Rattus norvegicus: one gene and its partners. The protein of the gene in region 1 binds, or shares a complex with, the protein of each later gene. Links are inferred from orthologs where the notes say so. Each region holds a gene or a part of one and is shown in the gene's direction. Other genes may lie near its edges. The genes, in order: Ddx39b, Thoc1, Thoc3, Ppp1r8, Ttf2, Thoc7 and Akap17a.

Evidence for each region.
Region 2: Ddx39b (region 1) and Thoc1 share a complex: the UniProt entries of both Homo sapiens proteins name them as parts of the transcription/export (TREX) complex. The link is inferred for Rattus norvegicus from reciprocal best matches to the Homo sapiens genes DDX39B and THOC1.
Region 3: Ddx39b (region 1) and Thoc3 share a complex: the UniProt entries of both Homo sapiens proteins name them as parts of the transcription/export (TREX) complex. The link is inferred for Rattus norvegicus from reciprocal best matches to the Homo sapiens genes DDX39B and THOC3.
Region 4: Ddx39b (region 1) and Ppp1r8 share a complex: the UniProt entries of both Homo sapiens proteins name them as parts of the spliceosome. The link is inferred for Rattus norvegicus from reciprocal best matches to the Homo sapiens genes DDX39B and PPP1R8.
Region 5: Ddx39b (region 1) and Ttf2 share a complex: the UniProt entries of both Homo sapiens proteins name them as parts of the spliceosome. The link is inferred for Rattus norvegicus from reciprocal best matches to the Homo sapiens genes DDX39B and TTF2.
Region 6: Ddx39b (region 1) and Thoc7 share a complex: the UniProt entries of both Homo sapiens proteins name them as parts of the transcription/export (TREX) complex. The link is inferred for Rattus norvegicus from reciprocal best matches to the Homo sapiens genes DDX39B and THOC7.
Region 7: Ddx39b (region 1) and Akap17a share a complex: the UniProt entries of both Homo sapiens proteins name them as parts of the spliceosome. The link is inferred for Rattus norvegicus from reciprocal best matches to the Homo sapiens genes DDX39B and AKAP17A.

What each region holds. Positions count from the first base shown.
Region 1 is NC_086038.1:3,586,852-3,590,877, reverse strand, and holds the start of Ddx39b (spliceosome RNA helicase Ddx39b), read left to right. Parts: upstream 1-1,226; 5' UTR 1,227-1,293; exon of another isoform or gene 1,294-2,253; intron 2,254-2,610; 5' UTR 2,611-2,737; coding exon 2,738-2,948; intron 2,949-3,608; coding exon 3,609-3,736; intron 3,737-3,948; coding exon 3,949-4,026. UniProt on the Homo sapiens protein: Involved in nuclear export of spliced and unspliced mRNA. Component of the TREX complex which is thought to couple mRNA transcription, processing and nuclear export, and specifically associates with spliced mRNA and not with unspliced pre-mRNA.
Region 2 is NC_086036.1:1,273,660-1,277,159, forward strand, and holds part of Thoc1 (THO complex subunit 1), read left to right. Parts: intron 1-2,021; coding exon 2,022-2,130; intron 2,131-3,500. UniProt on the Homo sapiens protein: Component of the THO subcomplex of the TREX complex which is thought to couple mRNA transcription, processing and nuclear export, and which specifically associates with spliced mRNA and not with unspliced pre-mRNA.
Region 3 is NC_086035.1:10,154,627-10,157,972, forward strand, and holds the end of Thoc3 (THO complex subunit 3), read left to right. Parts: intron 1-1,660; coding exon 1,661-1,824; 3' UTR 1,825-2,846; downstream 2,847-3,346. UniProt on the Homo sapiens protein: Component of the THO subcomplex of the TREX complex which is thought to couple mRNA transcription, processing and nuclear export, and which specifically associates with spliced mRNA and not with unspliced pre-mRNA.
Region 4 is NC_086023.1:150,329,927-150,334,214, reverse strand, and holds the start of Ppp1r8 (nuclear inhibitor of protein phosphatase 1), read left to right. Parts: upstream 1-1,488; 5' UTR 1,489-1,501; coding exon 1,502-1,557; intron 1,558-3,844; coding exon 3,845-3,905; intron 3,906-4,288. UniProt on the Homo sapiens protein: Inhibitor subunit of the major nuclear protein phosphatase-1 (PP-1). It has RNA-binding activity but does not cleave RNA and may target PP-1 to RNA-associated substrates. May also be involved in pre-mRNA splicing.
Region 5 is NC_086020.1:191,083,507-191,087,712, reverse strand, and holds the start of Ttf2 (transcription termination factor 2), read left to right. Parts: upstream 1-1,406; 5' UTR 1,407-1,422; coding exon 1,423-1,450; intron 1,451-1,534; coding exon 1,535-1,637; intron 1,638-3,618; coding exon 3,619-3,705; intron 3,706-4,206. UniProt on the Homo sapiens protein: DsDNA-dependent ATPase which acts as a transcription termination factor by coupling ATP hydrolysis with removal of RNA polymerase II from the DNA template. May contribute to mitotic transcription repression. May also be involved in pre-mRNA splicing.
Region 6 is NC_086033.1:13,699,960-13,703,459, forward strand, and holds part of Thoc7 (THO complex subunit 7 homolog), read left to right. Parts: exon of another isoform or gene 1-278; coding exon of another isoform or gene 279-282; intron 283-1,438; coding exon of another isoform or gene 1,439-1,542; intron 1,543-2,099; coding exon 2,100-2,217; intron 2,218-3,068; coding exon 3,069-3,196; intron 3,197-3,454; coding exon 3,455-3,500. UniProt on the Homo sapiens protein: Component of the THO subcomplex of the TREX complex which is thought to couple mRNA transcription, processing and nuclear export, and which specifically associates with spliced mRNA and not with unspliced pre-mRNA.
Region 7 is NC_086030.1:21,425,448-21,429,445, reverse strand, and holds the start of Akap17a (A-kinase anchor protein 17A), read left to right. Parts: upstream 1-1,198; 5' UTR 1,199-1,278; exon of another isoform or gene 1,279-1,369; intron 1,370-1,633; 5' UTR 1,634-1,709; coding exon 1,710-2,510; intron 2,511-2,839; coding exon 2,840-2,988; intron 2,989-3,645; coding exon 3,646-3,898; intron 3,899-3,998. Other genes in the region: Asmtl (N-acetylserotonin O-methyltransferase-like protein), read right to left, coding at 82-174. UniProt on the Homo sapiens protein: Splice factor regulating alternative splice site selection for certain mRNA precursors. Mediates regulation of pre-mRNA splicing in a PKA-dependent manner.

The sequences.
Region 1 (4,026 bases):
ACAGTCCTTCCCATAGTCCCCTAGCAGGAGGATGTGTTATGACTGGTGCCAAAGGGATATATTATGATTGGTGCAAACGTAAGTCTTCATTTGCATGAGTTCCCTGTTTGCCCAGATTGGTGCAAACGCCCTTTGCTGGCTGTAAAGCCTGGCTCACTTGGGACAAACCTTACTATGCCTCCGTCCTTGGTGCTGCCACATTAGGTCCAGTAACTGGAAGAAAGCGGCTGAGAGCTTTCCAACTAGGTCACTAGAAGAGTTCCTGGAAACTCTTCAAAGCCAAAGGTGCCTCTCTGTCTGGAGCTACAGCTCTTACTAAGTTACCAGGGACGGAGGAATCCCCACTTTCTGATTTATACAAAACCTGCCAGCCTGCTGCTTACAGCTGTCAAATGGCTGAGGAATCAAAAGCTACCAAGCCCCAGCCCAGGGAGCTTATCCGTTGAGCAGGACACAGCGGGCTGGTTGGCAACAATGATACTTACTTAGTGTTACTTAGTATTACTTTCAAGTATGCTCAATAGGGAAAGCACCTGCTTATGTTTCTGCAGAAAGGCAACAGGTCATCACTTCTGACGTGTGTAGCACCTCAAAGGGAATACCACCTACTTAGGGGGGACAAATTCCGGGCTGAATAATGGAACTGAGACCATTCTGCTGCTCTAGTTAGTAATAATTATGGAAAGGTGCATAACCCTCAAACTCCACCATTTATTTAGCACCTGGACAGAATGTAAGCCTCCATCTCCCAATATAATTTTGGGTAAATCCGGCCTATTCTCTGCACAACTGTAATGGGCGTGGTCACGTACCGGACCCCCCCCCCCCCAGTAGAGGCCAGACTTAGCCGCTCTCAGGTCACCTTGACTACGAGGCTAAGGACCCCGTGAGAACGCTTCTCACTCTGCTCGCGGAGTCCTGCATGCCCACAGAGAGGCGCCCAGGGAGAAGCCTGGCGTGGCAAACAAAACAGAACAAAAGTAAAGCCGACCGTCGGAGGGTGTGCAGAAGCGTAGAAGAACAAAATGGGGAAATCAGATGGGGAGAGATGTGAGCTTCCTGTCGCGCTCTTGCTGCCGGCGACGGAAGGGGGCGTCAGAAGCTTAACTTCAAGTGGGCATTCTGCAAAGCCAGCCGTGGAGCGCGCGCCGCCCGAGGCCTCCTTCCGGCACCCCGCGCATGCGCCCTGGCGGCCGGGAAGGCGGGAGGCCGGGGCGAGACTGGAACCGGAAGTGAAGGCAGCTTCCCGCCTCCGTCCCTGTTGCTGCCGCCATACACGCTCGCAGTGCTTAGGTAAGCTCGGCCTTGTGTACTATCCGCCGCCATCTGCCCGCCCCGCGGCTCATTCCGCCGCGCGGGCCCCTGATACCCGGTGCCCGGCCGGCGGTGTGGCCGCCGGCGCGTAGGCGAACGCTCAGTTCCATTGTTTTCATCCCTTTCTGAGAGCAAATCTTGGTGGGGGAGCTGGGAGACAGGCGGGGGACGATCCAAAATGGTGGCCTCGGCCGCCATTGTGTTCCTCGTTTCCTGGATGTTCCAGTGGGTCCTTTGCCCACCCGAGGCCGCGGCGGCCGGAGGCGGCGCCAGGAGGAGGGCGGGGCCCCTCGCATCTCCCCTCCGGGCCTTTTCTTAGTCCGCCAGGGATGGGAAGGATCTTGCCTCCGGGCCCATTCAACCCTCTGACCCCCTGCTTACGCTCCCTTATTTGGAGCTCTCTGTAAATGGCTATCTCCGTGCTTGACCAATGGTGTCGGCGCAGTAGTCGGGAAGGTTTCCAGGAAGCTTTCCGGGAAACTTCCGAGGGCACTGCGAGGCGTTCGCTTTTAAGACCACTCTAAAGGCTGCATCGTCCTCAGCTGCGACCTTAATTCCTTAATGTGACTATTAAAATTAATTGTGGCGGCGCTGGGCCGATCCTTGCGGCCTCTCGCGTTGCTAAGCGAGCACCTTCATTGAACCAGACACCCAGCCTTTTCAAAAAAGAATTTTCTTTTTTTAATGGAGCCATTCGTACCCTTGCAGCCACCGTTTAATTACCATAGGCTCTCCCCACCCCCTTCCTTCCTGCTTCTGCTTCCCGGCACTGGGAATCACGGGTGTGCGCCGCCGGGATGGGCCCTCGGGTGTTCCTGAGCAAGTGAATAGCGGCAGCCACATGATGTTTGCAATTGGGAAGTGAGCGCTCTGCGCGCGGTGCTGACCCTTATCTATCACCCTTGACTGATGGCTGACGTTGGGGCTCAACACCGCGAGGTGACAGGGGGAAGTGCAGCCCCTCGTCTTCTCTTGTCCTTTGTCTCTCCACCCTCGTGTGAGTCGTTAGTCACGCTCATCCTCGCTCCCGCCTTGTCGAAGTGTGATCCAAAATCTGGTTGGCGGTCGAGGCCACTCTCTGTCTCTCCCGTCTGGTGTTCCGTTTTTATGTCTCGTGTGTGTGTCTCTGTGTGTGTGTGTCTGTCTGTCTCCGTTAACTTTTCTTTCGGGACAAAGGCTTCAGTTTAGAGAAAATAGGAAGGGTGTAGGGATGGATGAGAAGTGAGGAGTCAGATCATGACTGATTAGTTTTTCCTTTTTCTTTTTTTTTTTTTTTTTTGTCGTCCCTTCTCCCAGCTCTTCTGTCGGAAACTGGTGTCTTTTCCCTTGCTGTTCTCCAACCCCTCTCTTTCCCCTTGCTTCCTCTCACCTGCTCTGGGACACCTAACTCAGAGACCTCCCTTCTCCCCCCGCCGGCCGGATTATGGCAGAGAACGATGTGGACAATGAGCTCTTGGACTATGAAGACGATGAGGTGGAGACGGCCGCTGGGGCAGATGGGACCGAAGCTCCCGCCAAGAAAGACGTCAAGGGCTCCTATGTCTCCATCCACAGCTCCGGCTTTCGAGATTTCCTACTTAAGCCAGAGTTGCTCCGGGCCATTGTTGACTGTGGCTTTGAGCATCCATCAGAGGGTACATTTTATTGTTGGGTATAGAGACATTATTTAGCATTTCAGGGATGCAAGACAGATGTGGTTCGTGTCTTGGTTCATAAGATCTGAACTTAGTTAGGCCAAGCTCTGAGAATGCACTCAAAACGTTAGCTGCCGAAGAGGCTTTTGTTTTTGCCTGGTTTTTTGTTTTTTGTTTTTCTTTGGTTTACACCTTTTTGGCTATTTGGACTCTCAGGGCCTGGTTGGACCTTTAGTTCCCCTCTTTTGGCCCAGGCTGACAGTGGTCCCTGGAAACCGTAACGATCTGTTTAAAGATGTTAGCTTCTATGGCTTCTGGGTTAGGTACCAAGTCCTTCATTTTGTTCAAGGTGGCAGGATAACATGATCCCAAAGCCCAGCAACCTATGTAGGAGAAATAATCTGTGGCAGTCACTCAGATTCATTGATGGTTACGCTATAAGAAAAATAAAGATAGCCAAGAACATTGAAGGTGAACCATTGGTAGGTTCAAGAGGGGTCTTAGTAGCACTGGGGAGCCGGGGCACAGGTAGGAGGGTTTGATTTGGGTGTCTTGAGGAGATCAGAGAAAGGATGGGGTCAGGTAAAATGTGACACATTGGCTGGGAAGGAGGGGACTTGGCATGGTGTAAAATAAAAATCTCTCTCCTTTCCCCTCTAGTCCAGCATGAATGCATCCCCCAGGCCATTCTGGGGATGGATGTCCTGTGCCAGGCCAAGTCAGGCATGGGAAAAACAGCAGTGTTTGTCCTGGCCACACTGCAGCAGCTGGAGCCAGTTACTGGGCAGGTATGTTGGGGGCAGTGTTGGAGAGGGTGTTGAGGTTGAACCACCAGGAGGCTGTTTCTGGCTGTGTGCTCTCAGAGCTGGTCTCCTCCGGCAGTTCAGGGGGAATGTTCTGTAGCAGAGTGGCATAATGGTTTAAAGAAACTGCTGTCGCCGACAAGTTGCCAGATGCGGGACTGACTTTACTGTGTCTGTCTCCATTTGCTCCCTCAAAGGTGTCAGTGCTGGTGATGTGTCACACCAGGGAGCTGGCTTTCCAGATCAGCAAGGAATATGAGCGCTTCTCAAAGTAC
Region 2 (3,500 bases), on another chromosome or scaffold:
CTCTGTGAGTTCAAGGCCCCAGGGTTGCAAAGAGAAACCCTGTCTCAAAAAACAACAGAACATAACAAAAAGCAAATGCAGCAAAGGATGAAGCTCAGTACTTGAGTACTTGCCTGTCACATTGTGGACATCCTGTTCCATAACATTGTGCACACAAGAGTGTGCAAGTATGCGTGCATGTGCGTTATATACCTTGTGTGGGTAAATAGGAAATCTGTAAGTTTCTAAAGAATAGTACAAGTCGACAGTAAATTGGTATTAAAGAGTTGGAGGTAGCTCAGTGAAGTTCTTACCTGGCAAACACAAACCCTAGATTCAACCCTCAACATCAGAAGACCAACTCATTTAGCCATAAAAACATATATCAAGCAAAGGGAACTATAACCATCAAGTGGGAGGTATTTTAATGCCTCAACTATAAAAGTTTCTCAGTATATTGATACTGCTTGAAAATTTACTATAGTTGGGGATTTGGCTCAGTGGCAGAGCGCTTGCCTAGGAAGCGCAAGGCCCTGGGTTCAGTCCCCAGCTCCGAAAAAAAGAACCAAAGAAAATTTACTATAGAATGGGGGTATATCTCAATGGCAAAGTATTTGCTGAGTTCAATTCCCCCCCCAGTACCACAGAAAATATGTGAAACTGATACCCCACCACCAAGCCAGTTAAAGAAGGTTGGAAATGACGATTGGCAACTTGCAATAAAATTCTTCTTCAGAGGGTAAGGGAATACACTTAGGGGATGAAATTGTGGGGAACTAAGTTTGAATCCTCAGAACCCATGTAGAACCAGGCACTATAGCATGCATCTGTACTCCCAGAGCTCCTACAAAAGAATATCTGAAAGCTTACAGATCAGCTAACCTATTGTACACTGCAGCAAACAACAGAGTCTCTGCCTTGAAGAAGGTAGAAAGCAAAGACCTACACCCAATGTGTTGTCTTCCAATGTCCACACATGTACCTGCACTCACACACATAGACAGCATATATCAGAAACCCACATACACATGCACACACAAATAAAGATAGCTAAAAACAAAAGATCCTTTTTTTTTTTTTTTTTTTTGGTTCTTTTTTTCGGAGCTGGGGACCGAACCCAGGGCCTTGCGCTTCCTAGGTAAGCGCTCTACCACTGAGCTAAATCCCCAGCCCCAAAAGATCCTTTTTAAAAAAAGGGTTTGTTTTTTATATGTATGTGCATCTGTGTGTAGATATGTGCACAAGTGCAGGTGCCTTAGGAGGCTAGAGAGGTGTCTACTTACAACTGAAGTTTCATGCAGTTTTGAGCTGCCATATGTGCCTAATGTAGCTGTCTAGCTGAGCTCCAGTCCTCTGCAAGACACTCAGGGCTGTTAACTGCTGAACCATCTCTCCAGCCCTTAAATAAACAAAAGATTCTTATTGGTGTCAAACATTAAATTATATGTAGATCTTCTAGTTCCTGAGACAAAGATGAACATATGAATGGTTGCATGATTCTCTCTGCTAGCAATAACTTTTCATTTTTCTTAGGAAGAATCCCCTGGTCCCCTGATATATAGTATCGTAGCCAAATTGGAAATTGAATTAGTAATGCAATAATGAAGTTACTGGAGAAAGATAGTACTTACTCATGGGGTGGCCTAGGAACTCATTTCTCCCTTGTTTTTCAGCATGTTTGTCCTTTTCCCTAAAGTGCAAGAACACAGATGTTAAAACATGGCCCACATATTGCACATATGACTTCTTCCAACTAATTTCACATAGCCACTCCTAGCAGCAAGAAAGATCAAAAGTCATTAATCTTTCATTCTAAAGAGCCATGTCAAAATTCAGGGGCTCTACCAGTATATTAGAGGGTCAATTGAGGTTTTCTAATCCCTTCAGACTGTTTCTAAAAGTTTATATCATTTTTTTTAATATATACTTTTTAGGGGATAGAAACTTTTTATGAGCTTCTGAAAAAGTTTTGTGGCCCAGGGAAAAAGACTTATATGACTGTCAAATAATTTAAGTGATTTAATACATTATTTATTTTATAGTTCTATTCCAATTGATTACAACCTGTACAGAAAATTCTGGTCACTTCAGGATTACTTCAGGAACCCAGTACAATGCTATGAGAAGATTTCTTGGAAAACTTTTCTCAAGGTGAGTCACAGACCTCTGAAGCTGATACTTCACAGATACTGGCAGAGGTAGACTTTATCTTGTTCAAATATTTTTCACTATAAAACTCCCTCTGATAGTTTGATACCTATTATAATATACAGAAACTAAATTGTGAATTGATTCTTTTTTTCTTTTTTCTTTCTTAAGGATTTATTTATATATAAGCACTCTTTAGCTGTTTTCAGATACAAAAGAGGGCATCTGATCTCATTATAGATTGTTGTGAGCCACCATGTGGTTGCTGAGATTTGAACTCAGGACCTCTGGAAGAGCATTCAGTGCTCTTAACCACTGAGCCATCTCTCCAGCCCGTGAATTGATTCTTTTTTTTTTTTTTTTTTTGGTTCTTTTTTTCGGAGCTGGGGAACCGAACCCAGGGCCTTGCGCTTCCTAGGTAAGCGCTCTACCACTGAGCTAAATCCCCAGCCCCTGGTGAATTGATTCTTAACCACTGATTTTTGTGGTATAGTTTTTAAGTGCCTTTAGGTTTAAACGTTAGTAATTAAAACCTCCAAGGGTTTATTTTTTTATAATAATTGCTGTCAATATAAAGTGATGATTTTATTTTTCAGGATGTCTTCTCTATTTGAAGTGTTTTTGAAGAACACACACCAAAATTTATTGAGAGACAGGGAGCAAAGCCCACAGAAGGGAGCGAGCTTGAAAGAAGTTGCCCTGCTCAATTGTTGTTTTACTCTAGTTGTCCTATTAAAACAGAGTTCATAAAACTATAGCCCCACACCAAGTCAGTCTACTTTATAAAGAGGTTTGTTGGACTACAGCCATGAAGGTTCATTTATCTGTGGTTTTCCTACAATGTTGTGGCAAGTTGAGTATTTGGAACTGAGAACATTCATGCCACAAAGCCCAAAATACTTGCTGTATTCACCTTTAGAAAACATTAGCCAACCCTGTCTTAGAAGAATCCCCATATATGTCTTGTAGACATGGAAGATTGTGATTCAAATAAAAAACATAGATAGTTTTTAAAGCAACATAAGTGTTCTGTGTTAATTTATATGCATCTTAGAGGAATGGCACCTTCCAAATTGAGGTTAAAATAGTGAGATAAGGGAGTTTCTTCTCAGTTGAATTACCATCTTATTGATTTGTTAGTCTTTGCACATAAAACTGCTTTGAGGTTTCCATAGCTGGTTAAACAATCGATTTTATTGCTAAGTTTTTTAAAGTTCTTTAACAGTTTTAACACATGAATTTTAGGCATTTTTACCCTGTTCCTTTCCATTACCACCACTCCCAAACCTTCCTTCCCTGCAAGTTCTCTTCTTTCTTTCATGTCTTCTCTCTGCATCTGACCCAGCTAAGTTTAATTAGATTTGCTTGCATGC
Region 3 (3,346 bases), on another chromosome or scaffold:
TCAAACTTTCTGTCTATGCATTTTTTTTTATTGGAGTAAATAACATTAGGTATAATTCCTGAATATTTTTGGTAGTTAAGTCTGAAAGAAGGTAAGAGTGAATTTTGATTTTATTTCTGATACTGTATAGAATAGAACTCCATTTTAACAGTTTAACATTTTAACGCTGGTATCGGCCTCACACAGTCAGCACTGTATGTCATTTAGGGATTAGCTTTGCAGTCAGTTATCAGGGTTCTTATCCTAGTTAGTGTTGCTAGTGCTGTGAGAAATACCACGACCGAAGCGACCTGGGGAAGAGAGGCTCACACTTACTACACTTCATTGTCAGAGGAAGTCAGGACAGGAACTCAAACAGGGCGGGAGCCTGGAGTCAGGGGCTGAAGCAGAGGCCATGGAGGGGTGCTGCTTACTGGCTTGCTCTCTATGGCTTGCTCAGCCTGCTTTCTTACACCCAGGACTACCAGCCCAGGGATGGCACCACACACAGTGGGTTGTGCCCTCCCCATCAATCACCAATTATGAAAATGCCCTACAGGCTTGCCCACAGTGCACTCTTATGGAGGCATTTTCTTAGGTGAGGCTCCCTCCATGCCAGTGACTAGCCTGTTACACTGACACAGACTGCTGGCCACAGCACTCAGTTTGTAAAGCTGTGTGCTTACCTGGGAAACATCTCAGGGGTTTTTGTGGTTGCTTTGGTTTTCTTCAGTTGTGTAAATTTTTATCTTAACCAAATCCATAGCAAAAGATACAAATTAAACACCTAAAGAAAAGTGAGAGTCCTGTGGTAGTGACACCAGAAAGCACGGGTGTGTCCGTAGCCTAGCAGTAATTCAGACAAGCTGGAGATGGCTGTCCCCGACAGGATTACTGTAAACACTTCACATATATAACAGAAATGTGTACTTATGTGTGTACACGAGTATGTTCTAGTAGTGCAGGGTATAATTTGTAGACCGTATAGTTGACCTCTTAGATGTACACCAACCGTTCTCACACCCAGCATCTTTATAGTGGTGCCACACTGTAGGTCTTCTGTAAAAATTGTAAAGAGCGGTTTGCGGCTCTTTTGCCTGCATGTGTGTCTGTGCCGTACAGTGCCTCTTGCTCATAGAGGCTAGAAGAGGGAGCTGGGTCCCTAGGTGCTGGGTCCCATTGGGTTGGAGCTAAACAGATGGCTGTGAGCTGCCATGTATGTGCTGGGATTTGCATCTGGGTCCTTTAGAAGAACAGCCAGGGCTCTTAGCTGCTGATCCAACTCTCCGCTCCCACATTGTAAGCCTTAACTCAAAGGGAGAAAACGTGGAGCAGACCTGAAAGAAACCATGTCTAATTTCAACAACTTAGAAGGAAACGTCTGGGGAAAAGTTATTTGCAAGGCTTTGTGGTGTATGAGGTGTGTGGCTTTGGAGACAAACTGCCTTCATTTTCCTTAGGTGTCACTTTGTTAAGGCACCACAGCCTCTCACAGTCCTGCCACTGGCATGCAGTAAGAACAGGCCATCTGTAGGGTGCTCAGCAGACCATAGCTGGTAATTGTTTTTCCTGGGAGTATAGGTTAGAGGCCTAGACTCAAGTTAACTTTCCTGTCACCTGCTCATGTGTGACATCTCTATATGCCAAGTACTAATAACATTCTCTCTGTTGCTTTCTGTAGGAGACAAGCTGTGGGAGGTGCAGTGTGAGTCCCCGACTTTCACCGTGGCTTGGCACCCCAAGAGGCCTCTGCTGGCTTTTGCCTGCGACGACAAAGATGGCAAGTACGACAGCAGCCGGGAGGCTGGGACCGTGAAGCTCTTCGGGCTTCCCAATGACTCCTGAGAGGACATAGCTGGAAGGAAGAGGACGACGGGCGGACTATTCAGGCTTCCTAATGACTGGACCTGACGGGGAGAGGGGGCTGGGCGCAAGCCTTCCTTTTGTATAGTTCCGTGTGGTCTTTTGGGCTTTGGGCACCCTAAATGTTTGTAAATGGCATACATTACAAAAACCCTTTGGTCAGGCTGTGGTACCGGAGGATTGAACCAGCCTTGCACGTGGTGAGCAAGTGGCCCACTCAGCCAGCCCCGCCCCACTGCCTGAGGTTTTTTGTTTTTTGTTTTTTGTTTTTTTTTGGTGTATTTTGTGTTAAGCAGTTAGCTAATAAGGACTCTGCAAGTATGGGTCATAATCTGTTGTTGAGGGTTCTCTAAAGGAAGAGAACTGGTAGAATGTCTGTCTGTCTCTCTCTTGTCTCTGTGTGTCCATACATGGGATTTTATCAGAATGGCTGACAGGCTGTGGTCTGGGTTGTCATTCCAACGACGCTGCCGTCTCCTGACGGAAAGGCCAAGGATCAGTAGCCGCTGAGACTCATCTGATGCGGAGTCCTGGGGAATCCTAGAGAGCTGCAATCGTCCGTCAGTGTTGGAATCCTGAAGAAGCAGGCTCTGTGGTTACCAGGGAGGGACTCCCTGAGCAGCAGGGTGGATGGACCAGGCAGTGAGAGTGAGGGCAAACAGGCAGAAAGCGGAAGCCTTTTGTGTGACTTTTTATACACTGCCACCAGCATGTGTCCCAGGTTTCCGGTGGCTCTTCCTACCTCAGATGATCAAGATTTCTCTCAGGTGTGCCCTGCTGGTTGGGTTTCAGTGGTTTCCAGACGCTGCAGTCAAGTTGACAGCCAAGATTGCCCACCACATGCCCAGCGTGGCATGCCCTTTGGGAGTGCCCTGTGTTCTGGGTTTTAATATGGCAGTTTGTTGCTTAGGCAGTACCTACTTAGAGGGAGGGCAGCATAGGGATGGGATTTTTAAAAACAGCTTTGAGAACTGAGCATTCATTAAAGCCGGCTTTCGTTATGAGGTGTCTAAAGTTACTGTTTTTGTTCCTGGAAGATACTGCAGGTTTAAATTCTGTTTTGGTTTTAAATCTGAGTTTATGATCCCATCTAACCCTCTAACTAAGACCATGAACTGCAGTGCTGGGCTGCTGTGGTATTGCAAAGTCATCTGTGTACATAAGCGGGTGTACATCTGGCCTCCTCCTACCTGGTTTTATATAGAGCAAACCAAGGGAAAACAGAAACACAGTAAAACAGAAATAAATACAAAATCAGACAGATAAATGAATAGGAAGTCAAGGCTGAGGAAGTGGAGGAGGAGTGTGTGAGGAGTGAGGCCATCATGGATGATCTGACTAACACAGCAAACTGAAGATGGAGGGAGGTCAGTCTGTCTGACACAAGCGCTCAGTGTGTTCCACAGCCTGGGACTTGGTAATGTAGCCCAAGCTGGCCTGCACTCGCTGTCCTCCTGCCTTCGCTCGCTCGGCTTCCATTACAGGCCACCGTTGTGGTTGGCAT
Region 4 (4,288 bases), on another chromosome or scaffold:
AAGGCAACTCCTAAAAGAAAACATTTAATTGGGGCTGGCTTACAGGTCCGGTATCATCAAGGCAGGAGTATGGCAGCATCCACGCAGGTATGGTGCAAGCACAGTTCTCCATCTTCACCTGAAGGCTGCTTTAGTGGAAGACTGACTTCCAGGCAGCTGGGATGAGGGTCTTAAGCCCACACCCACAGTGATACACTTATTCCAAAAAGTCCAAACCTCCAAATAGTGTGACTCCCTGGGCCAAGCACATTCAAACCAATGCCATTGCTTCCTGAAACCTGGAGTTTGTTTATTATTTATTTTGCTGTCTAGCAGGGTGTGGTGTTGCATACCTTTAATCCTAGCGCTCAGGAAGCAGAGGCAGACGGGATTTCAGACCTGTGCTGCCACACCCTCCTTAAAAAACAAAACAAAACTGTGAAGTCATCATCCCAGATTTTCTGTAAAAGTGCAAAAAGGACCATCAAGTGCATACTAAGTAATGGTATGTTGTCAGAAATGCATGAGACTAGTGGAGCCTGGCCTTTAGCTTTATACAGACTCAGGTTTGAATCCCACTCCTTGTAAGGTGAGGCTGGATAACTCTCACTCTGAGCCTCTCTTCTGGTATCAATTTGTCTTGAGTTGTGGGATTACCGAGTGAAATGATCCATATAGAATATATACTTCCCAGTAAGCACTCAATAGACAAAGCGATTACAACCCGCAAGCTAATGGCTTAGAGGAAGATGACAACCCTAATGCCTCTTTGTATAGTACAGTCACTGTTACCCACCTAGGAAGTCCTAAGGGGCCATTTATTAAACATTTGAGAATTGGTGAAGTCTGTAAAAAAATAAAATAAAATTGGACGCCCTTTTCTGTTTGAGTTTGTGCCTTGGTGCAGTTTGTCAAAGTTTTCAAAAACAGACTACCTGATTTCTGACAGACTTCTAATCTATGGAAGCCCCCAAACCTCAGAAAATTACTGATTCTGGGGAATTGAATCAGTGGCCTCGCTCGCGCATGCTCAACACACTAACATTAAGCTAAACAATCTAGACTTGGATTAGAAAGGACAAATGAGTAAGGATTCTGCTTTCGGGGGTGCTTTCCGAAGGAGGGCTAGAAAAATGAATGAGCGGTCACGTCTTATCTCTAGTGATCACTTGCTTATCGCTAGATGAAGTGTGAATGGTTGGAGTGCTGGGAGTTAATGCAGATTACAGAGCCCAAGAGTTTCTGGAGGAGAACGGAGCGAGAAGCCCATACCTCGGTACAAACCACTTCTGACCCCGTGATCAAGGAGAACCTCCCCTCCCAACCCTCCCCAGCAAACACTGCAGACTTCAAAATCAACCCCTAATCCCCTCCACCATAGGCGCTCCCAGGCGAGCGTCCTGGCGTTACGCGTGCGCACGCACGCGCTGCGCACAGGCTGCTGGGAGGCCGCCTCTTCCCTCCCGACCTCCCAGTTTCCCGGCGTGCTTCAGGCCCGCCAAATGGGAGGGGGAGACGCAAGATGGCGGCAGCCGTGAACTCCGGCTCCAGCCTCCCGCTGTTCGACTGCCCGACTTGGTGAGTAATACGATTTCTGGGGCTAGAGCATCTTGGTGTGAGTTAACCAGGGCAGAAAAGGAGGTTGTATTTTTTTCTTTTTCCTTTTTTTTTGCGATGAAACGAGCGGCTCAAAAAGATCCTGAAATGATTGAGGGAAAACTGTCCGCTGTGAGGGGCCGGGCGACGCTGTGTGGAGGAACCTGGAGCTGGGGCCCAGGCTCTGAGGAAACCCGAGGTTTGGGGGCTCGAAGGCATTCAGTTTAGACAGCGCTTGGGAGGTCAGCCGCTCACCGGGGTGCTTTCAGGCCTTGGCCCCTAACTTGCCCTAACTCATCATTGAGTGCTTGATGCTCTCAGGGAGCTTCCTAGCTTCCCCGGGTGTTGAACGTCCAGAGCCCGCATGAGCTAGCTTCCCTACCCCAGCCCAACCTGATGCTGCATCCGTCTGTGGCTGCTGCATCCTCCAAGAGGACTAGGAGCTCCTTGAGGGCATGGATGGCGCCGAACTATTCCCCCTGTTCTCTGACCAGACCAGTACGAAGCCCGGTACAAAAGACACCAGAAGTTGTTAGCTTATATCGTTTTCATTCCCTGGGACGTTCATAGTAGTAGGATGGTTTAGGCGTTGAGTAAGGTGCAAGATGAATACATAGGAATTGCTTTGCAGGAAGATGCATCCGAGTGAAAGCGCTTTCTGCTGTTGCGGCTTTTCCCGGTTGTTAACATGTTACTTCTCAGGCTTCTGTTACATTGAGATCTTCAAGGGCAAAAACCCTTGCATCATTCTCAGCTCCTAGGCCTGAGTCAATCACATAATAGGATATTTAGAAAATATATTTTGGTTTTAATGTTCATTTTTAACCTGTTTCTCAAAGGGGGGGGGGCTTTTGTCCAATGCACTGTCCTTTTAGCTATAAAAAAGATCCGAGCAGAACTGTGAGATGACTGCGTTGAATCTCCAATTAGATAGATACAGTTAGACAGGATACCGTTTCTTCTGTGCAAATGTAAGGGCCCCAGAAGGTTCAAAAGAACAAGCCCAGGAAGCAAGTGAATGTTTGGCTATTCACTGGATTTCTTTATACTTTTAACATAACCATGTGCTTCAGCCTACACATTCTTTATCCACACTGGTCCCTGGCTGCACTTATTTCAAATTTGGGCCAGCCAAATATAAAGAGACTCTTTGAGATCACCTGTCATTACTTCAGAATCTGGTGCATACTAGGAATTGTGTCAGGTAATTTGACACTCTCACAACCCCTTGGATGATGAAGTATAGAGAAAAGTTTGATGACTTAGAATTTTTCAGAAAGACCTGTTCAGGATACACCTCTTATTCATTTGGAACTTGATTTCGTGGGCGTGACTTTGATTCACTCAAGTTCCCTAATTACATTATCTCTGATTGGTACCAAGAGTTCATTTGGGTAATGGTTTTTGTTTATTTTCTGATGAGAATAATATTGATCAGTCCCCAAACAAATAGTTTTTGTTGTTTGATTGTTTTAACATTTATTTATTTTGAGGCAAGATCTCCATATGTAATTGTAGCTGGTCTAGAACTTGCTATACAAAGTAGGATGGCCTTGAAATGATCTCTCTGATGGGAATTCTCATGTGTACTTCTGTACCCAGCAAAATAACTGGGTTTTTTGTTTTTGTTTTTGTTTTTTAATATTAGGAGTAGTAAATCTTAGATTAAAACCCCAGGTTAAGGGGTTGGGGATTTAGCTCAGTGGTAGAGCGCTTGCCTAGGAAGCGCAAGGCCCTGGGTTCGGTCCCCAGCTCCGAAAAAAAGAACAAAAAAAAAATAAATTTATTTAAAAAACCCCAGGTTAGACCAAGCTTGGTGGCATACACCACAATGTAGTCTAGCACAGGGAAGGTGGAGGTTAGAGGTTTAGATGTTCAAGGTCATCCTCAGATCCAAACCCACTAAGGTTAGAGCCTAGCTTGTTTTCCGAGACATGAGACTCTGTCTCCAAAAACAAGCAAGAAGGAAAAACCTCCTCAGGGGACAGGACATTGAGTTGCATTGTCTCTGAAGAGCATAGCTAGTGTTAAAATGCAGGAGTTTTTTGGGGGGGGGTCTGCTCTAAATACAGACCCACAGAAAAATCTCTGGAACAACTGAATCACTTAGGAAGAAAATGTCAAACACATTTCACTCTAACACAGTGAAATATGACATTTTTGTTTAAATATGAACTAACTCTAGGCTGGTAGGGGAGCCTCGGTGTTGATTATTAAAAACAGTCTTGGACTCCTCCTTGAAACCGCTGTTTTCACTCTTCTCTTTCAGGGCAGGTAAACCGCCACCAGGCTTACATCTGGATGTAGTGAAAGGAGACAAGCTAATTGAGGTACTGCAGCCTGCTGTGACTGGCTTCCCCACCCTGTCTCCCTTTGCTCCCTTTGCTTTGTTTTCATCGCTGTTACTTTTCTGCTCTGTTTCTGTTTTTTAAGGCAGAGTTAGCCTTGGGTATCCTGGAGCTCCCTATATAGGGCAGCCTGGCCTTGAACTCAACAAAGATTGAATGCCTCTGCCTCCCAGTCCTGTAAGGAAAGACGTGGGCTGCCATGCCTCTTTTGGGTCCCCCTGCTAAAAGCTCCCAGGGACTGATGGTGTAGCTCTGTGACAGAGTGGCTGGCTGGCATTCGGAAACTGTTTTGGATTCATTCTCCAGCAGGCAACACTCTCCCACGGTTACTCCTCTGCCCTCACAAATGAAGATATTTTTGACAG
Region 5 (4,206 bases), on another chromosome or scaffold:
ATGCACTTGGAAATTCATGTCTTTCTTTAGCTCTCTAGGGTTTGCTGGTGACTCCATTCATCTTGACATTTAAATACTATTTTATATTTATTTAAGCATTCATTAGGTATAGGCTAGTTCAGCTTCCTCCATTCAGTAAGCCCCTTGTGGTTAAAACAGTTTCTTTAAATGTATGCATTAGGTGAACTTTATATTTCTCAAACACATATTCCTCTTGGGGCACCAAAAAAAGCTATTTAGTAAGAACTGCTTAATTCATAAATGATAACTCGGGTCTATCTCCCCTCCTCTGGCCTCCTAAAACATTTACAGTCTCCATATAGCCCAGGCTTCTTAGTTAGACATTGCAATTTTTCTGTCCTCCTAGCAGGTATGTGTGCCACTCTGAGACACACACAGTCTTCAGCTGCTGAAATATGAAGTTATGGCTACAGCAACCAAGCTCCGATAGTCATTCCTTCCCTCTGCTCACTAAAAGAACTGATTACAGGTTCTACAGTTCCATTTTATTTTAAATTATGTGTATGTGTCTTTGTGTGTACTAGTTAATGTGGTGAGTCCATGGAGGCGTGGAGCTGGATTACAGGTCGTTCTAAGAGGCCAAAAGTATTTGCTAGGAACCAAACTCAGTAACAGCCAGCAAGCGCTCTTAAAATGCTGAGCCTTATCTCTAGCCCCTTGGTTACACTTCAAATGCAGTATCTTTTAACATCACTCTCAGTTTTTTTTTTTTTTAACTACAAATACAAAATAAGTTCAAAAGGGTTGACAATGCAAAATACACGAAGTAAAATTAGCTTGTGCCTGAGGTCCGGTATTGCCCTCAGGTTCTTCTCTCAGACTCAGGGCGTCCACACCAGGCGGTCCTTAGAACCTCACTTGAAGGCAGGCCGTGAGACTCAAAGAGAGCGGAGCGTGGAACTGAGATGTGTGCAGATGTTCAATCTTTGGTGATTCTGTGGACGCCCTACACTCATTTAAAGGTTGTCCGGGGGTCCTGAGGGAGTCTTTGTGCCGACTTACAGACTATGCAAATGATTCCCACAGTTTTAGGGGATGCTCCTGCCTCTCGGCCGCCTCATATTTAAGTGTTTCCACCCACAGTGGCTGCTTCCCGAGCAAACCAGCCGCTCTGCCTCCCTCTGAGCCTCAGCGGTTCCTCTGGAGTCGCCCAGTTCAGCTTCGTCTAGCCCTCTCCAAGTCTTGCTTTCTCCCCGACCAGGGAACCTCCGGGTGTCCTCCCAAGACTTCGGCCACGCCTCCTCCTTCCAAGTTTGATTTCAGTGCGCGCCAAGCCTGCGGGAGGCTGTAATTGGTTGAAGGTGAGAGGATTTCCCATTTGATTGGTGAAGTGTTATGATGGGCGGAACGGGGCGGGGTCAAAGACGGAAACCCGGCGGGCCAGAGCTTCCTGGCTGCGTTATGGAGGTGATTAAGTGTCCGGAGCACGGTAAGGTTCCAGTCTCAGGATTTCCCTCCTGGGGACTGTGGAACTGGCTTGCAGGGGCCATTGCTGACCTTCTTGTTTCCTCAGGGGCCGTCTGCTTCTTAAAGACCGGCGTCCGCGATGGCCCGAACAAGGGAAAGAGCTTCTACGTATGCCGGACGAACACATGCGGCTTCGTGCAGGCCACCGAGTGAGTCTCCAACCCGGCCGGGTTCCACAGAGTGACCCAGCCTGGTCACTTCAGCTGCCTTGGGACGCGGATTTACCCACACTCGGATCCTTCTAGAGTCCGCTTAAAGTTTCTAGGCACCTGTCTGGCCTTACTTAGTCACTCCCCTTTACCCCTGCATCCTTTCTGCTCCTTCTAAAAAGTGTAAACAAACAGTGGACATGGGAATTAATTTGCTAGTTTTGCACCAATTTTAGATCGCCATTTTAATTTTAATATTTGAGGTTAAAAACAGTAATTAGACACCAGCCTTTCTCCTTCATCTAGTGGTGTGACGCTAATAAACTCCAGAGATTGAAGGTCTTAGGGCAGCGTTTCTCAACCTGTGGATCGGGACCTCCAGGGTCTAAGGACCCATTCACAGGGACCGCCTTTTAGATATCCTGCAAACCAGATACTCACATTACGATTCAAAACGGTAGCAAAATTACGGTTGTAAAGTAGCAATGGAAATAATTTTATGGTTGGGGTCACCACAACATAAGGAACTGTTTTAAAGGGTTGCAGTATTAGGAAGGTTGAGAACCACTGTTGTAGGGAGTTAGTGCTGAAAGAAACATCAGAGGTTGGTGCAGAACTCAGGTTCTGCAGATGTGAAGGCTGAGACCTAGAAATGTCAAGCATCTTGTCCAAAGTGAGGAAAGTGCTCTCAAGTGTGACCATTCTCTGAGTGAAATTAAACTGTGGTTCATTTAACACTTCTTCCTGCTCTCTATTCAGCTGAACTTTGTAGAGCACAGTTATTTTTTTTTTCAGTATATAGGTATATAATAGATATTAGTACTGGAATAAGTTGTATTTTGCATCAGAATTTACAGTTCCGTTCCTAAATATATTGAGTATTGTTGAATGTTGTAAGACCCATGCGCGCGCATGTTCGTAGGAATTAATTCATAGGAACGTTCCTACGCAACGTTCGCATCAATGTCGGTCTTAGGTTTGATTCAACATTAAAAGAAATATTCTTGAGGACTGGAGAGACAGGTCAGCCTTCAAGAGCACGGGCTGCTCTTCCAGAGGCCCTGGCTTTGATTTACAGCACCCACTTAGGGGCTGTGAAATGTTGTAACTTTAGTTCTAGGGGATCGCGCGCCCTCTTCTGGCCTCTGAAGGCCTAGCATGTACATGGGGTACAGACACACATGCAACAAACGATCCCTAAACATAAAATAGAAATAAATAAATAAATAAATAAATAAATAAATAAATAAATCTTTAAAAAGAGAGTGAACATTCTTAAAGAGTGTGCCACTTCCGTGGGTACACTGCAATACAGACTAGTACAGTACTTTCACTGGAGGCTTGCAGTGTGTCTGATGAGCGGACTGCAGGCTGCAGACAATTCTACAGGTCACAGGAGAGTGCTTTAGACCTTCACTCCAACCTGTCTGCTCTCAGTATTGTACATATTTTAGGAGGGACATTTAAAATTTTATGCCAGGCAAGAAGCACATGAGTAAGTTATTATTAGAGGTAGACATGGGAGTAACAGCAGATGACAGCTAGTAGGGTATTAATGGATGAGAGATCCTGAGAAGTCACAGCAGGCCTACCCTGTGACCAGCCTGAGACTATAAGTCATCCCTGGAAGTGTTGCAGTGTGGCTGTCATATGACCGTCATGAAGAAAAGAATAGTTATTGTCACGCTTCGGTTCAGAAAGTGGTAAAAGAAAAACTATGGATCCTTTCCTCAGGAAGCCACACCAATAGCCATAGATGGAATTTATACACCCAGGACACCTTGAGCTGTAGTTGGGCTGAGTGTGGTGGCACACCCTTGTGATCCTAGAGGAAGGATTGCTGCAGGTTTGAGGCCACACTGGTCTAGGTGGTGGGTCCCAGGCCAGCCAGTGAGAATTCAAGCTTGGATTTGACTTCAGACTGCTGGCCTCTATTCCTTGTCTTCTAAAATTATTTTATTATTATTTCTTTCTCTTCTAGTATTCCTGTTTCTCATTGTTTATTGCATGAGGAGTTTGTGGTAGAGCTTCAGGGTTTGTTTCTACCACAGGGCAAGAAAGAATGGAGGTGAGTGTCCAGAAGAAACATCTAGATGCAACACACACACACACACACACACACACACACACACACACACTCTCCCCACCAACCCCCAATCCTGAAAGAGTTGCAGCTAGATTTGTTTTTTTAAATATAAATTAAAAAATTTTATAAAATTTTATTAAAATTTTATAAAAATAAAGAATTTTGTTCTTTAAAAGTCATTACTGAAAACCTTTTTTGTACATACTGAATATCATCTACCTTGTTAGCGATTCTGGACCTGTGGGTCTCGACCCTTCCACAGGGGTCACATATCAGATATTTACACTGTGATTCATAACAGTAACAACATTACAGTTATGAAGTAGCAGTGAAAATAATTTTATGGTTGAGGTTATCACATGAGGAACTGCATTAGAGAGTCACGGTGTTAAGGTTGACAAACCAGTGCCCTAAATGCTGTATGAGTTACCGGGAGAAACCAATGGTTAATTTCTGGATGACCAGCTCTGTTCCCCTCTAGCT
Region 6 (3,500 bases), on another chromosome or scaffold:
TGGTATTTAGTCCCTTGCTGTTTCCTACTGCATTTATGTTTGACATCCCACATGGGCTGTAAACTCTCAGACTTGGGTGCTGAGAGCCGAACTTGGGTCCTCAGGAAGAGCAGAATGCATTCTTAACCACTGAGCTATTTCCCGCCCCAAGGTGTGCCTTTCCTTGACAGACTAAAGCAGACAAATGAATTTGAAGCCAGCAAGATTCGGGGCACACTATGCCCTGAAGACAAAATTACATACCAAGACCTTGTCCCAAAATGTGTGTGTGACAGAGAATGTGTAAGTGGATGTGTGTATGTACTCATGTTCAAAAATTCTGCTTTTTAATCTCTTTAAGGACTGTCTTATTTACCTTGGTCTCTTCAAGTTGTTTGGTAATTAAAGCTCGAAAACATTAGTATTTTTTTAAACACATTTAAACGTTAAACGAACAGATGAATCTGTAGTTTGAACAGGTTTTCAAAGAAACCTATTCTAAAGGTGTCTGTCTAAGGGCGCCCTATACTGGTCTGACTCCGCTGCACTTGTGCTTCTGCCATTACGCCTGCTGGAGCTGTTGTCAGAGACGTTGCTCTTGATTCACGCAGGCTCTCCAGGAATTATCCTCCTTTACATTTGTACTCAAAACATAGTGAATTCAGTTAAAAGAAAATGAAAGCCCAGAAAACAAACAAAAATGATAAAATGGTATCTAAGAAAACCATTTTCATCTCTATCTGTAATCTGTTTATCAGAAACAATCATTAATATTGTTCATTACCCATAAATGCCTCCAGATTTATTTTCTGAATATATATATATATGTATATATATATGTGTGTGTGTGTATATATATAATATATATATATATTATATATATGCATTTTGTTTTACACACTGGACAACATCCTCTGCTTCTCAGAAGTTACTTTATCTGAAGAGGTAGTTTCGTTGTTATCCTAACATTATTTGAGTGCATCACAATTTAAGAAGCCTCAATGTTCAGCTTTGCAGTATAAATATCTACTGTAGACAGCACTGCTAAAAGCCTCTCTCTACGTCTGTTTGCATGGAGGCGCACACCTGTAATTCCAGCCTCTGCTACAGAGATTCAGAATAAGCTCCTCAGTATCTCAAAACTCAAAATACTTTTTCTGGGGGCCAGGCAAAGGTGTATCCATTTCAAGCATGATTAACTGTATCCACGTCTCTACATGTGTAACTGTGTGTCAGTAGAGTGTCTGAACATCATGGCAACAGTTATATTACTGAGTTATGATGTGGTAGAAGGATGATTTCTTCCCCGTTTCCATTTGTTTTTATGACTATGGCCCAGCATGATTTGGTCCTGGTAAGAGCACTAGCTCAGGACTGCCACACAGGCTGCTTGGACACCATTTGTTTGTTCTCGCCATCATCTCCCACTGCATTTCTATTTTCTCTTTGCATTGGGCAGAAATGGAGACACTGAAGTCAGGGTAATGGCTCATACCTGTCATCCTGTTGTGTGGAGGCAGAGGCTGCACAGTGAACTCCAGCCTGCACTGTCCCTCAGGAAGGGTGAGATAGTGTTGCTTTAGCGCCTACAACTAAATTGTTACTTCATGGATCTTTTCATCTCTCTGACCTGTTTACTCTTTTTCTGACATGATACTACATGCAAGGAAACTTTGTCAGTGCCTCTCACTTACTACAGTCCTGGCTTCCTTTAGTTTGAACAGCTTTTTTTTTTTTTTTCAAAAGTAGTTCTCTTACCAATTACTGACTTAGCCTTTCTGTTGTACTTGAAAATTTCCTCTCAACGACCCATAGAATGCCGATTATAAGGGTAGAGTTTCACCAAAGACCTCAGCCCCTAGGACGGGGCAGATGTACCATAGCCAACCGCTTTTCTTTAAAGAGGAAAAACAAACAGAAGATTTTTAATTGTGCTAAGATGCACATAAAGCTTACCATTTTGGCCTTCTTGCTTCTAAGTGACACCTCAGCTGGTGGCATTAAATGTATTTATAGTTCAGCAATTTTCATTGAACAAGTGAGTAGTTATATACTGTTGTCTTGAGATTTGTCCAGAACCAAATGTTTGTGTTAATTCCCGTTCATCCTTTTTGTTCCAGACGAAGTCATCCGGAAGCGTCTTCTGATAGATGGAGACGGTGCTGGAGATGATCGGAGAATTAATCTCCTAGTGAAAAGCTTCATTAAATGGTGTAACTCTGGATCCCAAGAGGAAGGGTACTTCATTCCACTGTGTTTCTATACCAACATCTTGCTGGAATTTTACTAAGGCCATGTTAAATAGTTCTATTCATCTTATCTGTCCAGGGTAGCCACTTCTTTTCCTTTTTTTTTTTTTAGATTTATTCATTTATTATATGTAAGTACACTGTAGCTGTCTTCAGACACACCAGAAGAGGGCATCAGATCCCATTACAGATGGTTGTGAGCCACCATGTGGTTGCTGGGATTTGAACTCAGGACCTCTGGAAGAGCAGTCAGTGCTCTTAACCACTGAGCCATCTCTCCAGCCCCCAGTAGCCACTTCTTAACTGATCAGAAGTTTGTTTGCTTTTTTATTTTTTGGTTTTTTTTCGGTCCTTCTCTTTGGAGGTCTCCTTTATGTTTGTATAATACGCAGAAAGGACATTAGTAAAGGAAGAAGTAAAGATCAAACTCAGCTGTAATAATTTGATTACTTTTAGCAAATCAGTATTTGCTAAGTATCTCTAAATGTTTTTTCTTTGCTAATAAGTAAATATATAAGTTGCTGTAAAATAATAATCACATGCTAATTTATGAAATTTTGCTGGATTTACTTTCTGCTTAAGTATGAAAGTTGTGAGAACAAAATTCTGATGAAACTCTATTGTTAGGGATGATTTAAGATGCAGACACATAATTTTGATAAGATGAGGACAGTAGTCTCATTCTGCCTTTGTAACCAGAATAACTTATAAATTCACGTACACCATGTCTAGCAAAGAAAATGGTAAGGGTGGATATTCTAAGCTATTTCAGTTAAATAATTCGGTCAGAACTTTGTTTAGTTTACGATTTCTTTTTCTTCTCTTTCTCTCTCTCGTTAGATACAGCCAGTACCAGCGGATGCTGAGCACGCTGTCTCAGTGTGAGTTCTCAATGGGCAAAACGCTGCTGGTGTATGATATGAACCTCAGAGAAATGGAAAACTATGAAAAAATATACAAAGAAATAGGTAAACATAGTGCTTCTTTCTAGAATTGTATTTTTGCAGTTTAAAGGAAAAGCTGATAGCAGTATGTAGATTGTAGTAAGATACTGTCAGTAATTACAGTGGTAAAGAATCTACCATCTACAGCCACAGTGTCATGTAGTAAGACAGCACTTTGTGTTGTAGATATTTTTAGAATGTCATCGTCTGTTGTGTTGTCAGTGGAATGTCTACTTAAAAGCAGACATTATACGTCTTATTATAACTACCGTTTTTTAATAGAATGCAGTATTGCTGGAGCACATGAAAAAATTGCTGAGTGTAAAAA
Region 7 (3,998 bases), on another chromosome or scaffold:
TCTCATTTTTGGGGGCTCCCGGTTCCGCCCACCGACTTCCGGTTCCCTCCCTGTCAGTGACCCGGCAAACGGAAAGCGCACCGCCAGGTCGAGGATCTCCCTCCGCCTTGGCGAAGCGCTCGCCAGGACCACGTGGTAACCGCGCAGGAGCGGGGCGAGCGGCTTCAGTGCCATGGGGGCCAGAGTCGCGCGGGGTTACCAGACCTGACCGATATCACTGGAGGACTCCGCAGCCCAGGCACCACCCTTCGTGTTACGTGAATGGTGGCGTTTTTGCGCAATTTCCGGAATTCGCCCAGGCCCCGCCCCTCCCTCTTGGCTTGCGAAATTTAGGAAAAGCGCAGGCAAGAGGGCGTATGCGGTATTAGATACTAGTAAAAATCAGTATGACAGGCGGAAGTCCCGCCCCTTTTCAAGTCCGTTTAAAGAAAATCTGAGCCGGAACTTGCCCTAGAACCACGCAGAGCCCTGGGAATCAATTCCGGAAGTCCCGCCCCCTGTCGCCTCCGTCAAAACCGGGAAAGGACGACCCGGATGCACTGTCACTGCCACGGGGGTCGCGCCAGGGCGGACGTCACACACATGGATACGCTAGGAATCACGGGATTGCCCGCCGCGCTACGCGGGCCGCGCTGGCTGACGACGAGTCGCATAGTTTATGACCTCACGCATAGCGGACAGAGTCTGCTCTTTGCTGAGCCTAGTTGCTTTGTTGTGACATCCGAGCGAAGGCGACGAAGGGGTCACCAGTGCTGACCCCGCAGGCCACTGTCACGGAGCCTAAGCGCAAAAGGGAACTGGGAGGGCGGAAGAGCGTCTACGCATGCGCGCCCTGCTGCTGTTGCTGTTTCTTGAGGCGGGGGTCAGAGGTGAGCGGTGCCGGAAGTTCCCTTTGTGCTCCTCCGCTTTCCCGCCACAGGAGGGCGGTTGAAAGCGGCTGACAGACGTTGTCTCCACGGAGGAAACGGGAGGGAGTCGATCGTATTTGACGTCACCGGTGAGCGCCTTGGTCACAGGATTATCGCCCTGTTGACCAAGGAGCCGCAACCTCCTGTGTCTGGGAGCGAGAGCAAAAACCTGCGCGTGCGCGCTGAGTGCCGCTGATTCTGCTGGTGATCCCTGTTTCCGGTATCCCGGATCAGAGGTGACCGGGACCGGAAGTGGCCATTTAAACTACGAAAATCAGTTGTCAGCGGCCGTGAACGAAACGCCTGCGGGGACTTTACCAAAAGGCCTTAGACGGTGGCGAGGACTAGAGTCTGGGCACCGGAAGCTAAGGTGCGTCACGGGAGCCCCGGGAATGGCTACGAAGGGTAACGGGGCAGAGTGACGAGGCCGCTGCGGAGCACAGGGGTGGAGCTTAGAGGAGGTGAGCGGAGAACACTCCGGGCTCGCGTGGACTGGGTCTGACCTGTTTCTGCTGCTTCCGCGGAGTTTTCCGGCTAGGAAATAGGATGGGGCCCTAGCAGGAGAAATGTAGGACTGGGGCGGAGCCTGGGGCAGAGGCTTGGCTTTATTTGAGAGGAGGGGCGGGGTTTGGTTCCTTGGCCATAATGGAGTCAGGTGAGCATAGCCTTAGCTGTGTTCTCATCCTAAGGTTCTCTGATGTCATGACCTTGTGTGCGTGTTTCAGATGTTGTGACGTCACCATGAGCATCACTACATACTGATATCACTGCACCATCCCCGCTCCCCCAGACTTGCTGGCCATGTCCTCAGCCACCATCGTGCACGACCCCTCGGAGGCGGTGCCCCTGTGCCCGGCGCTGGGCCTGTACCTGAAGCCAATCGCGCGGGTGACAATCTCGGTGTCGCTGCCCCCTCCGCCCCCAGCTCCGCCCCCTTCGCCTTCCTCGACGTCCCCACCCCCGCGTGCGCCAAGTCGTGCAGTGTCAAACTGGGAGGTGATGGAGGGACTGCGGGCGATGGCACAGGGGGCACGAGCGCCGCTGTCATCACTGCGCCTGGCCCGGGGCGGCCCTGAGGTCGTGCGCTTTGAGGGCGAGGTCGAGAACCGGGCGCTTGTGCGTCCCGCACTCGCTGGCCTGGACGGCAAGACTATGATGCTCAGCGGCCTCCCCCATGGCCTGCGTGTAAGCGCCGCTGAGGCCACGCCCCCACCCACGGATGACCCCGCCCACCCTCATGACACCATCCACCTTCAGGGCCTGCCCTGCCGCTGGTTTGCGCCCCGTGGGGGCAGTGGCGGGGATGAGGCTGGAGGCATTTCTTCCCCTGGTGGCATTGCCTCAGCAGAGAGGCCCAGCGAGGCTCTCCTGCGCCAGGCTTTCGGGGCGTTTGGTGAGATCCGCCATGTGGACATTCCCATGCTGGACCCTTACCTTGGTGAGGACGGCAGCCATGGCGGGGGCGGGGGCGGGCGGCTCCGCTTCGAGGCCTACGTTCAGTACCGAGAGCGTGATGCCTACGCCCGTGCCATGGCTGCCCTGCGTGGTGCTAAGCTCATGTTTAGGGGCACGGACGGCAAAGCTGTGGCCTGCGGCATCAAGGTGAGGGGTTTGGCGGGACCTGGAGTGGATTGACATCTTGTGGGCGGAGACTAAGCTATGACTGACAGAGTAGGGGCGGGGCACCAGATGTAAATGACACATGGAACTCCTTGGCGCTTGCATGTGGACAGGTGGGTGGTTCCTCGGGAAAAGTGCAGTGCCTGAGATGAGGGGTGGGGTCCATGACATCATGATGGTTTCAATGATGTCACAGGGGTCAAAGGGGGCGGGGTAGTGTGGAGATCAAAGGTCACCCACATGACATCACAGGGCGGCATTGTGATGTGACCACACGTCCTCTTCACTCCCCTGTGCTCCTTCACCTGCAGGTGACATCAGATGCCACACAGCACCTGAGCGAGGCTTCGATCAGACGCCGGCAGCTGGAGCGGCAGAAACTACAGGAACTTGAGCAGCGGCGTGAAGAGCAGAAGCGGAAGGAGCGTGAGGATGAGGCGCGGCGGCGGGCAGGCCAGCGGTGAGCCAGTCTGAGGCAGGGTGACTGGTGGGTGGATCAATGGGATGATGTCACTGGGAAATCATTTGGATTATATCACTCACATGACATTGTTGATAATGACACCGCCCTGATGAGCTTACTCTGATGACATCATGCTGTGTGACATCATCAGGTCTTGTATGAGGTCATGCTGAATGGTATTGCTGGCCGATATCACTCGGATGACATCACCAGGTGACATCATCCCAAATGACTTTGTGTTGCATGACATCATACCATATGACATCATTGGGGTGATGTCACTAGGATGCAATATCATATATCATGGTATGATCTCATGTTAAATGTGTTAATAAGAATGTCACCCATATGAATGACAGAGTGACATCACCACCCCTCACTTTCTCTTTGTTACACTCCTGGTCCCTCCCACCTGTCACTCATTCAGTAGTTGCAAACCCACACTCATTTATCCCACACTCATTTCCTGTCTGGGGCAAAGTCATTCGATGATGTCAATCCCTATGATGTCGCCCCCTATCACATCACCTTCAGCCTGGGATGAAATCATTTGATGACGTTGCTTGAATGACGTCATATCTAGTGACGCCAAACCCGATTGCATCACACGATGTCACGCCCAGTGACATCACCCACCCACCCCCAACCACCCAGGAAGCAGCGGGAGGCAGAGCAGCAACAACGGGCACGGCGTCGGGAGGAGAAGCTTCGGCGCAGAGAGGCACGGCAACGAGCACGGAAGAGACGAGGCCGACGTCGAGAGGAGGAGGAGGAGGAGGAGGAGGCAGAGCCCCAGCCTGTGTTGGGGCGTGAGGAAGAGGAAGGTGCAGAGCCCCGTCGGCTACTGCTCGCCCAGCGCAACCTGCAGTCTGTGCGGCTCATTGCTGCCCTGCTTGCCCGCGCTGAAGTAAGCAGGCCTTATGGGTGGGCAGAGTCAGAGGAGAGCAGAATTACAGTGTTGCCTCAGTCAGAGGTGGTATGGGCATGGGTGGGCAGGGCCTCAAGTG